Linked DNA regions of Macaca fascicularis. The protein of the gene in region 2 purifies or fractionates together with the protein of the main gene of each other region. This does not show direct contact. Links are inferred from orthologs where the notes say so. Each region holds a gene or a part of one and is shown on either strand. Other genes may lie near its edges.

What was found. Proteins that work in one complex are often made in the same cells at the same time.
Region 1: the proteins of XRN2 (region 2) and CDKN2AIP purify together in Homo sapiens (affinity purification with mass spectrometry; 4 studies listed by BioGRID and IntAct, with this or other methods). This does not show direct contact. The link is inferred for Macaca fascicularis from reciprocal best matches to the Homo sapiens genes XRN2 and CDKN2AIP.
Region 3: the proteins of XRN2 (region 2) and CDKN2AIPNL purify together in Homo sapiens (co-immunoprecipitation; 6 studies listed by BioGRID and IntAct, with this or other methods). This does not show direct contact. The link is inferred for Macaca fascicularis from reciprocal best matches to the Homo sapiens genes XRN2 and CDKN2AIPNL.

The regions. Positions count from the first base shown.
Region 1 is NC_088379.1:188,236,285-188,240,610, forward strand, and holds the start of CDKN2AIP (CDKN2A-interacting protein), read left to right. Parts: upstream 1-1,475; 5' UTR 1,476-1,646; coding exon 1,647-1,918; intron 1,919-2,388; coding exon 2,389-2,519; intron 2,520-2,934; coding exon 2,935-4,274; 3' UTR 4,275-4,326. UniProt on the Homo sapiens protein: Regulates DNA damage response in a dose-dependent manner through a number of signaling pathways involved in cell proliferation, apoptosis and senescence.
Region 2 is NC_088384.1:65,998,527-66,002,171, forward strand, and holds part of XRN2 (5'-3' exoribonuclease 2), read right to left. Parts: intron 3,055-3,645; coding exon 2,943-3,054; intron 781-2,942; coding exon 722-780; intron 646-721; coding exon 556-645; intron 1-555. UniProt on the Homo sapiens protein: Possesses 5'->3' exoribonuclease activity. May promote the termination of transcription by RNA polymerase II.
Region 3 is NC_088380.1:140,948,935-140,953,011, forward strand, and holds the start of CDKN2AIPNL (CDKN2AIP N-terminal-like protein), read right to left. Parts: upstream 2,852-4,077; 5' UTR 2,799-2,851; coding exon 2,560-2,798; intron 933-2,559; coding exon 833-932; intron 427-832; coding exon 348-426; intron 1-347.

The DNA of each region.
Region 1 (4,326 bases), on a different chromosome or scaffold from region 2:
GCCCGGCCGTGAGAACATTCTTGATTTAAAATTCACATATATAATCTAGGTATGCGATCACAGCTTCTTTTACTTGCTATGGTCCATGAAAGGAGAAATCATAATTTCTCCACCTTTTAAATAGCCAGATTTCTGCAATCCGTCCACCCCCTCTAGATTTTCAGCAATTATCTGTGAAAAGGAGGAAGGAATAGCAAACTAGAAGCAAAATCATAAGCTTCAAAATTTCTTTGTGCCTCCGTTTTTATGCAGTTTCTTTTGGTATGGCAGGAAAATGGACAATATTGTTTTCATACAATAGCTGTATTTTGTTCCAGCATGCGCATAAATTACACAGTTAACCTTATCTGACCTTACCTAAAGCGACCTTTTTTGCTTGATTATTCTGATTCATGCATTTTTACATCAGTCTACATTTAGTGAAAGAAAAAATTCATAATTTATATCATTTAACGTATTAATCTTAAAAGTGCATGTATACCTGGAATGGAAAACGTAATAAGCAAGCTAGCAGTTAGAGTACTTAACTGTGGGAAACGTAAAGTGGAAAAAAATATATAGAAGGAAAATATAGCTCTAACAGGGAGAGGTTTGGGGCCCCATAGATAAATAGGCACATTTCCACTCCACCTCCGGACATCTGCCGGTTGGTGGTAAAGTGGCTGATTTTAGGAAATTCTAGAGACAGAACGTTGTCGGGGTGGTGGTGTGCTATTGACCAAAACAGGAAGGCAATGCCTGGATTAACTAGAGACCTAAGAAACTGCGGGAACAAGCGCAATCGCTGCGGGGCCAGGACTAGCTTCGAAGGCAGCAAGCCTCACAGCAACACGGAGCCGGGTCCTCGTGTGACCTTGGTATGTAAGGAGACCGGCACCCTCATCCTCTTGACGGCGCCGAGACTCCGACGGCCTCGGAACGCTTCGCTCGGGCACACTGAAAGCAGCGCGAGACACACTTCCCGACATTCTATAAACTTGGAGGCCGGCTTTTGTTTGTTTTGGCCCCGCTCACACACACACGCGTCTCAGAGCCGGGACCATAGGCCCCGCGGCTGCTGGCGGCTCAAGGTCCCCCGGGACGCCGCCCTGGAGGACTTTGCCCGCCGCGCCCGGCTGCCTCCCTTGCCGGGCCCTGCCCCTCTCGCCTCTGCTCCCGGCGCCGCAGCTGACCCGGCGCAGGAGGAGGGCGACAGCAGTGCGTGGCGTCACAAAGCGAGGCCAGAACGCCTGGGGTTCCGCCGCGACTCGGTCGTCCCGGGGCAGCCCGACTTGAAATCCGCCCTCACAGGGAGTGAGACGCCCGACGCCCGCTCGCCCCACCCTCGGGGTCCCCTCTGTGCCCTGACCTGGACGCAGCGTCGCGGCGGCCCCGGCGCCGCAAAGCGTCCTGGGAGCGCCGGCTCGCGCCGGAAGAACGCGAGGGCGCGCGGCGGCGGCGAGGTTATAAAAGGGAAGAAGCCGGCGGCGGGCGGAAGTGGGCGGTTCGGCTGCTCCGGGAGCTGTTGTTTGGTCTTTGGGCCTCTGGAGGGGCGTTATCTGGAGGGCCGCCGGTGCAGGCCGCAGTGACAGGGCTGCTCTCCCGGCGCTCCGTGCCAGTCTCCCGTTGCAGCTGTGCTCGCGGCCTCCGCGGCCTGCAGGCCCAACATGGCGCAGGAGGTGTCAGAGTACCTGAGCCAGAACCCGCGGGTGGCCGCCTGGGTGGAGGCGCTGCGCTGCGACGGCGAGACTGACAAACACTGGCGCCACCGCCGGGATTTTTTGCTCCGCAACGCCGGGGACCTGGCCCCCGCTGGCGGCGCTGCCTCCGCTAGCACGGATGAAGCTGCCGACACCGAGAGCGGGACCCGAAACCGGCAGCTGCAGCAGCTCATCTCCTTTTCCATGGCCTGGGCGAACCACGTCTTCCTCGGGTGCCGGTGAGTGAGGCAGCGTCCCTAACCAGCACGCCCCGTTTTGTCTGCCACCTGCAGACCGGCGCTCGGCGCCCTCCGCGGGACCGGCCTCGGCGGGGAGGGGAAGTTGTGAAGCGCGGGAATCTGCCGGCCCGGCTGCCCTCTAAGGGTGAGAAGGGTGTCGCTGCGAGGAGCCGACATGATTCCCGGACGTCTGTGTGCCCCGTGGTGTGGGGGGAGCTGCTGGTAGGGTTGCTGGTGTTAGGGGCAATGCTTTTGGGGACGGGTGCTAGATTTAAGGTTAGTGAGGAGGTACCCTGCCTCGTAGACCCTGGGGCACTTGTTTATGGAGGTCCAGGAAACAGTTCTTGGCGGTTGGTCCACTTTCTTGATTGCAGCCAGGAAATGCAGTTCCTGTGGCCTGTTTTTTGCAAAGCACAAATAGGACCTTAGAAAAAACACTTTTTTAAAAATGGCTTTTTCTTCTTTTTCAGATACCCTCAAAAAGTTATGGATAAAATACTTAGTATGGCTGAAGGCATCAAAGTGACAGATGCTCCAACCTATACAACAAGAGACGAACTGGTTGCCAAGGTGAAGAAAAGAGGGATATCGAGTAGCAATGGTTAGCAGATCATAGATGTGAACATACATAGGAGTTTAGAGCATAAGTTTGATATAATTAGGAATTATCGTTATTAATTTTTTTAACAAGCCAGAATTTTTATGTTATCAATAAGTAATAAAGTTGGAATGTTAAACCTAAACTATGTATCTGTGTCTTTAGGCTTTGAATTTGATAGTTTGACTGCTTTAGATATTGAAGTGTCCACTGTTGTCTGATGCTGTTTTTTTTTTAAATATTAGACATTCATGATGTTATTCAACACTGTTTTAAGAAATTAATGACTCCACACTTTTTAAAGAAACGATTAGTCTTGAAATATTTTCACTTTGTGCCTTTATTTTAATGTGTATTTGTCTCACCCGTTTTATACGAGGTATTCTTAGTCATGTATCTATGTTTTTCTTCTTTTTAGAAGGGGTAGAAGAGCCATCCAAAAAACGAGTTATAGAAGGGAAAAACAGTTCTGCAGTTGAGCAAGATCATGCAAAAACTTCTGCCAAGACAGAACGTGCATCAGCTCAGCAGGAAAACAGTTCAGCGGGTACAGGGGCGGCCATCAAATCAGAGAGTGGGAACTCAGCTTGGAGCGCTGGCATCTCCAGTCAGAATAGCTCTACAAGTGATGGAGATCGATCTGTCTCCAGCCAAAGCAGCAGCAGCGTTTCCTCTCAGGTAACAACGGCAGGATCTGGGAAAGCTTCTGAAGCAGAAGCTCCAGATAAACACGGTTCTGCATCATTTGTTTCCTTGCTGAAATCCAGTGTGAATAGTCACATGACCCAATCCACTGATTCTAGACAACAAGGTGGATCACCTAAAAAGAGTGCTTTGGAAGGCTCTTCAGCCTCAGCTTCTCAAAGCAGCTCAGAGATCGAGGTGCCCTTGTTGGGCTCCTCAGGAAGCTCAGAAGTAGAATTGCCACTGTTGTCTTCCAAACCTAGTTCAGAGACAGTTTCAAGTGGGTTAACTTCCAAAACTAGTTCAGAGGCAAGTGTTTCATCATCAGTTGCTAAAAACAGTTCCTCATCAGGCACATCCTTACTGACCCCCAAGAGCAGCTCTTCAACAAATACATCGCTGCTAACTTCCAAAAGCACTTCCCAGGTGGCTGCGTCACTTCTAGCTTCCAAGAGCAGCTCCCAGACCAGTGGCTCACTGGTTTCCAAAAGCACTTCCTTAGCAAGTGTGTCCCAGTTGGCTTCTAAGAGTAGTTCTCAGACCAGCACCTCACAGCTGCCTTCTAAAAGTACTTCACAGTCAAGTGAGAGTGCTGTCAAATTCTCTTGCAAGTTAACCAATGAAGATGTGAAACAGAAGCAGCCTTTTTTCAATAGACTGTATAAAACGGTGGCATGGAAGTTGGTAGCTGTTGGTGGCTTTAGTCCCAATGTGAATCATGGAGAGCTTCTAAATGCAGCTATTGAGGCTCTGAAAGCAACACTGGATGTATTTTTTGTCCCACTAAAAGAATTAGCAGATCTGCCTCAAAATAAGAGCTCTCAAGAAAGTATTGTTTGTGAATTGAGGTGCAAGTCTGTGTATTTGGGCACTGGCTGTGGAAAAAGCAAAGAAAATGCAAAAGCAGTTGCATCAAGAGAAGCATTGAAGTTATTTCTCAAGAAAAAGGTGGTGGTAAAAATATGTAAAAGGAAATACAGAGGCAGTGAAATAGAAGATCTAGTACTCCTTGATGAAGAATCGAGGCCTGTAAACTTACCTCCAGCATTAAAACATCCTCAAGAATTACTATAATGTGTCCAAAATATCACTGCATACAATATCTGGTATTTGAAGAGAAAAACTG
Region 2 (3,645 bases):
CAGAAAAACTGATCATTCACAAGTTCCTATTTTCACTGCCATGCAAGGATATAGTACTGGACCATATATGCCCCAAGAATAATCAATAACAGATATCTATTAAATATAATTTACCATTTCTCATTATTAGGGAAGCCAGCTTATGAACCTAAAATTACAAACAAGTTCATTTAAATATTTTTTAAATATTTGGGAACATAGCGATTTAAGGCAGACCCACAACTTACTAATCTTGCTATATTTTGATATGTAAGAATGGAAATTTCCATTTAAAAATTACTTTCCTATATATATTTTTTAAATCATGAATCCCATTTTATGGCTTCATAGTGATGGCAAGACGACAAAATTGGCTTTAAGAGAAAATTCAGCTATCGAAAACCTAACCATGTAAGGATACCCCATCTCCAATAACCCTGGAAGCTTTTCTTTCCTCCGACAGTCAACTAGCATTTTATGGGGCAGGGCAGAAGGATAAATAATGTCAGTCATATCAAAGTACAGCCTTGAATGATCGCCCTTAATCTTTCTGAAGTATCAAAATGTGAAACTTACTGTCAAATTTTTCCACCCAGGGTCATTATTTAAACGATCAGCTATGTAATAGCGAAGGCATTTAGCAAGATTGTCCATAAATTCAGTTCCCTAAAACGATAGAAAGAAACAAATTAACCTATCATTTAAGAGTTAGCAATAGCTAGCAAAGTATGAGACTACTTACTGGTGTAATACAGTTGCTGTCGAATCTTTCTTTTATTTCTTCTGGAGGAAGAAAGCCACCTAGAGAAAAGAGGCAACATTTTGTTCTCCCCATAAAAAGTGAGATACATTACTCAATATTAAGCCAGAACAACAAAAACAAAAAGTTCAAATACAAAAGGAAGTGAAGTCTTGTCATCCGAGGAACAATGTTCCCTCACTGGGAAGAAAATAAGATTCCATCTCTCAAATTTAAATTATTATTATTATTACTATTATTATTATTATTTGAGACAGAGTATCGTTCTGTCACCCAGGCTGGAGTGCAATGGTGCAATCTCGGCTCACTGCAACCTCCGCATTCCAGGGTTCAAGCTATTCTCCTGTCTCAGCCTCCTGAGAAGCTGGGATTACAGGCACCTGCCACCACGCCTGGATAATTTTTGTATTTTTAGTAGAGACGGGCTTTCATTGTGTTGGCCAGGCTGGTCTCGAACTCCTGACCTCCAGTCATCCGCCCTCCTCGGCCTCCCAAAATGCCGGGATTACAGGGGTGAGCCATCATGCTCAGACTTTTAAATTATGTTTTAACAAGAATGTAAAACAATATATGGTACACAAAATACATTATACTGTTACATAAAAATTATGAAGTTATTCACTCTGCAAGAGACTATACACACACACACACACACACACACACACACACACACACACACACACACACACACACACCAGTTAGGGGCCATATTTTTGTTAACAGTTCCTAAAATAAAGGTGCCTAAGTGAAATGAAATTTTAAAGGCCGAGTTCATCACAGCTTTACAGGATAAGAAATACAATTATCAGACAGAGGAATATAAAAATCCAATTTTTTCCTCTATATCACTATTAGCTGCTTCTCAAGAAACAAATATATTTCATCACATCTTCAAAAAAAAAGACATTCTTAAAATCAGAAACACTGTTATAAATACAAACTGGTTTTAGAGTCTTAATTACAAGTTGCAGCTAAAGGAACTATATACTTGTACACTTCCAGCAAAATTAAAGTAATATAAAATGTATTGTAATTAGAGGCCTGAGGTGACTATACTATGGCATCCTTTTTCAACTGTAGAGCGCAATTATCTGGAGCCAAGACATTGTGGCTTTTCTGTTCTATTATAACCCTGTAAGTAGCTGAACACCAAACAAACTACTCTGCTACAACCATACCCTACCTCACACACAGGTATGGTAGGAGACAACCATCCCAACTGGCATCAACACTCCTTGATCCTCCTTTTCTCTGAGGCTTAGTCAGTTCCTACCCATGTAGCCACCAGGAATTTTTTTTTTTTTTTTTTTTTTTTTTGAGATGGGGTCTCGCTCTGTCACCCAGGCTGGAATGCAGTGGCGCGATCTCGGCTCACTGCAACCTCTGCCTCCTGGGTTCAAGCAATTCTTCTGCCTCAGCCTCCCAAGTAGCTGGGACTACAGGCATGTGCCACCATGCCCGGCTAATTTTTTGTGCTTTTTTTTAGTAGAGACGGGGTTTCACCATGTTAGCCAGGATGGTCTCAATCTCCTGACCTCGTGATCCACCCGCCTTGGTCTCCCAAAGTGCTGGGATTACAGGCGTGAGCCACCGCGCCCAACCACCACCAGGAATTTTAAGGCTTTGGGGAACTGCAAAAATGAAGACATCCCACCCCACCCCTCCAAACTTAAAGGAACCATAAGTGCTGTGCCTGCTCCATCAACTTATATTGAAAGTATGCAAATGACTTGGCAACAACCTGTAAATGTGGATCGAATCACCTCTGGCTTCCTCAGATAGACCTGAGTTTCAAAAAGCAAGCAAACCAAAGCTGATTTGAAGAAAATGTTTACAGAACTATAGCTTTCTGACAGCTGCCACAGAGAAAAGTAGTAAATAGTACTTACTGTATTTCTATTTTACAGAGACATAAAAGTTTGTTAAAGAGTTGCACTGGCCCTGAGAGGGGTTGACAATCTGCACTCTCCACCAGAATTCCCTATTCCCAAGGCTCCCTTTTACAGGAGAATTTGAAAATAAACAAGCCTATTAAGCCTATTGGTAGGATTTCATGAACTACTTTTCCTCAACAGTGAACACTGGATATTCTGGGATCCTTATTAAATTAAAAGCTTGCCTATTTGTAAGAAAAAGTTGCCACCATCCCCTCATTCTGCATACATCTTATAAAAAATCCAACTTCAAGATACATATTCTTTACCTTTTGCCAATATTTCTTCCCTGACTCGCTGCTTCTCGACTGCTGCTTCCATTCCTTCTTTTGATGCTCTGAACCTCCTTGAACGCTGCTGGTTCATTTTGGCACGTGGTGCCTGAAAATTTCATATTCCATAATACTAATCAAAATATTCACAAATAAATCTGTACATTATTTTGAATCAGGTGTTCTTTTAAAAGTAGTATACTAAAATGGAAGAAAGGTAAGTAGTGTGTCGAATAATCCTTTCATGGCAGATACCAGATCCTGAGAACTTAAATTTGGACCAAGAACCTAAAAGCTGAGCTCAATCAGGTGAATGAGTGCCATGTCAAATGGACAAACATCCTATGAAGCCAGAGCACTTATACTGCAAGTCCTCCCAGTCTAACACCAGTTCCCCTCAGTTAGGGTGCTTGATTCAAGGCACCCAAGAAAGAAAGCTCACTTTACTCAAAAGACCCAGCCAGCATTTGATGAGTAGTTACTACTGAACTAAGATCAGGAAGACCTTCTCTATGTCCACACCTAAAAGGAAGAATGGTCTCCAGATGGGATTCACAATGTCTCATAAAAAAGCAACAGAAAACTATTTCTTTATCTGCAGAATCTCGGTGCACTTCTATTTCCCACAATAAGGTTTATAATTATTAGTCTGTCTTTTCAATACAGCATAGCAGTCAGAAAAGAAATAATGTTTTAACCA
Region 3 (4,077 bases), on a different chromosome or scaffold from region 2:
TGCTTCAGTCGATTTTATAAGTATTTTCTGAGTACCTTCTCTGGGGTATAAGTATACTAGGTTTGGGAGTACTAAAGACTAAATAAAACTTTAGACACCATCTCTTCCCTCAAGGTCACAACTGCTTTAAAAGAGGTCTGGATAAAGTGCCAAAGGAATTTTGGAAGATAAGCGAGCAATTAATTCTGCTGCCTGAGCAGATAAATGTGAAACAAGTACATATTGGGGGTGATTCTGTAAAGTATTAATAGCTGGGATGCCCAGCTCCATACTCTGAGGTTCTTTCTGCCACACTCTCTATAGGCCCAGCTCCAGCATCCAGATTCAAGACTCTAGGCAAGACTCACTGTAAAAAATCCATCGCCTGAGATCAGACCCCACAGGATAGAGAACAGCTATGGTATCGACATTGCTCCAGCCACATTCCTATCAGCAAATCAGAGAAGCCAAACTAGTCAGGTCAGCACTCACGGCCAGGGTAAGGATGAGTTAGTTACTCTATTACCAACAAGATTTTTTAACAAGTAGGAAACAAGTATTCTAGCCAACATTTTTTTAAACATCAAGCAAAAATCTCAAAACAATGTTCCTAATCACCCAGAAGAAGTTAAGCTTATGTGTTACCTCATCAACAACGCATAATTTATCACAATGTGTTGTCAACTACTTATGAAAAGGTTATACCAATTATGGGGAAATAATAATGAAAAGGTATAGGTCTTTGGGGTAGTAAACAAGAGCACTCAAAAACAATACTCTAATATAGTGTCATCAAAGCAGGGACTGTTAACTCTACACCATTTCATCACATACACTTGGAAATCCTATTTACCTTTTTCATTAACTCACTTCTGGTAGTAAATTGTGGCAGGTCTTCCACTTCAATCCCATCGGCCATTTCCATCACCTTGTCTAAAAGGTCTTTATTGTAACTGCACAATAAAAAGTAATAAGGTAAAAACCTCGGAAGAATTGTCATTGTGAATTAATAAGAAACTGCAGGTTGCTCAACCATAAAATCAACTCTCAGAGAACTGATCTGATACTGCAGGGCAAACCTATACATGTTCAGCACAAGGTTTTGAGATGGAGTCTTGCTGTATCCCCCAGGCTGGAGTGCAGTGCTGTGATCTTGGCTCACTGCCACCTCCACCTCCCAGGTTCAAGCAATTCTCCTGCCTCAGCCTCCTGAGTAGCTGGGATTACAGGCGTGTGCCACCATGCCCGGCTAATTTTAGTATTTTTAGTAGAGACAGGGTTTCACCATGTTGGCCAGGCTGGTCTCGAACTCCTGACCTCAAGTGATCTTCCTGCCTCGGTCTCCCAAAGTGCTGGGATTACTGGCTTGAGACACTGCGCCTGGTCCTGTGAACACTTCTTGCTTGTAGATACAGAAGTGGACTTTATAAATACCAGTAGAGCAAATGTTTCAAGATTTAGAAGAACAGAGGCACTGTACATCTAACAACAGATATTCTCAGATACGGGATGAGGGCCAAAATATTTTTGTTTATTTTTTAAATACATGGAATGTCAGTCTAACAAAAACATTATTTATTTGCCCAATTCTCTGACATTAGCCTAACCATGGAAAACCAGGATTTCCCAGGAGCACCTAGAAGTCAGGGAAAAGGGACGGGTGCCTCTGGCATTGGTTCCCTACGTACTGTTCTAATAAACCCCAATATGTGAAGCAAAACCAAGTGGCTTAGGCCTGGAGGAGCCAAATGACCAGAGTCAGGCAACCATAATAGGTATAGAAACCAAGATCAAACCAAGTCACCCTATTTTCCTAACACAATTTCAGGAAAATGGAGGCTCTCTAACAGGGAGTCTCAAGATTTGCCACCTTCCTCATGGAGGGGTGAAGGGAATGCCTTATCAGGCACTTCAAAAGCGGGTCTTTGTCCTTTTGGTGCAGCAGCCAGGATGAAGTGGGCTTTGGGACCTTGACAAAAAGGCATCGGTCATTTTCATAAGAGGGAAAACAAAGAGGTAAAGCTGGTTCCTACTTAGGACCCAGTGGGCTGTGGAGTGAGGACAAAAAGGCACAGGATACAGATTACATCCTGTCATTAGTGGTTAAAATCCATCAAACCTGCCAGAAGCTGCATGGTCCTAGTTACATCACTTCCCTCCCTAAGCTTTTTCATCTGTAAAATGGGGATCTCCGTTTCTGTCTCTGCACTTTGCCATGTAGGTGACAGAGGCTAACGGACTTCGAATGCACACTGCAAAGGTGATGGTTTGAGCTAATAATAGTAGTAATACATATAACAATAGCAACTTTTGAACCCGCCATGTATTTAGCTCTTCACCCTTTAATTATTACAGTCATCATAACCACCCTTTTACCAGAAGAGAAAACTGAGGCTCAAAGATAAGGATCGTTCCAAGGGGCCTTCAGGGTGGGAATCAGTCTTCGGGCCGGGCAATGCGGATGGAGGTTGGGAGCGGGTTCAGTCTGGGGCAGAGGTTCGGGTCAGGGGTGAGCCCTGGAAGAGGGCTTGAGGGTCGGAAGAGAGGGGACAGGATCAGCCGGCCGGCAGGGGTCCGCACCTGCAGCCTAGGAAGAGATGGTTGGCCCAGACCATGGAGAGGGACAGCAGCTGGTCCAGGCGGCCACCGCCGTCGGGCGGGTCGCGGTAGTCGGGCAGGTGGCGCAAGATGAATTCCATGCGGGCCTTCCATTGCTTCTCGCTCTCTGAGTAGGAGCGGAACTGCTCCGCGAAGTCGGCCGCCTGCCGCACTCCCGAGACCAGCTCCTCCACTGCAGCTGCCGCCTCGCCACCGACCATGGTGCCCGCTGCAGCCGAAGACCGGATAGCCCGCCGCCTTCCCGTCGCGCACTGCGCCACCACCTGCCAGCCAGAGGGGCCCCGTCAGCGCACGACTGCTCCAGAAGACCAGCCTGGAGCGCCCTCGCCCGGAGCGGCGGCCTGCGGGGGCACAGAGCGGCTCCTGGCTCCTCAGACCGCCGCAGCCCGCGGCGCATGCCCTGGGTCTACCCAGGGCTGCAAGGGCCCTTCGCGGTCGACCCTGCTGGGAACCGGTGGGAAAACTGAGGTCCCTAAGCACAGAGTCGGAGCGCCCTCTTCCAGTTGGCAGCTGGATGCCAGTCAGAGCTATGCTGTATCTTTCTTGCCCTGGGAGTTTCCCAGGCACCGCCTCATCCTAAGGGATATCAGGGGGCCCGGGTCAGGGATAGATAGGTCCACTTCCAGGGGTCTCCACAGCCACGCAGGTTGGGGCCCGCCTTCCTGGAGCGAGTAATCCATCCATCCGGTGAATACTTGCCAGGCACATTGCTAGGTGCTGGAGAGGCAATGAGAGCACACTCGGAGCCCTGCTCGCCTGAACTTTACCATCGAGTGGAGGAGCAGATATTAGTGAACTAATTGCTCAAGTAAGTGGAGAATTTCAGCGTTGACAAGTACTAGTAAAGAGAAGTCCAGCGTGCTACAACCATGAATAAGCAAGGAAGGGACCCAATCTAGTCTTGGGGTCAGGGAAGTGATCCTGGAGAACTGAAGAATGAGCAATTTTCTGAGAAAAGGGGAGTCGGTCAGAGCAAGAAAGAGCATGGCCTGGTAAGAGAATTGCAAGATACGGGGTAGGAGGGGCTGGGGGGCAGGGCAGGTAGATAATGGAGAAGATGAGGTTGCAGAGGTCAGCAAGGCCAGTAGGCCAGGCAGGGATCCTGGCTAGATCCCAAGAATGGGGAGCCACTGAAGGATTTTAACCAGAACAGTGACACCTGGGTTTACAAAAGATGCTGGAAGGAGTCAGAAAGAATGTGTCCAGAGGAAATGAGCAAGTTTGGATTTGGTTTTAAATAGAGACAGGGTTTCGCCGTGTTGCCCAGGCTGAGTCTCGAACTCCTGAGCTCAAGTGATCTGTCTCAGCCTCCCAAAATGCTGGGATTACACGTGTGAGCCATCGCGACTGGCTAGTCCTGAAAGTTTCTATTTAGCTGGCATGACTCGGCTGTCTGTTCTAGGCTCAGGTAGCAGACACACTGAGAGACAAAAGAGCTTCCTTTAAAGTGGTGAATTCCCCATCCCTGGAAGCATTCAA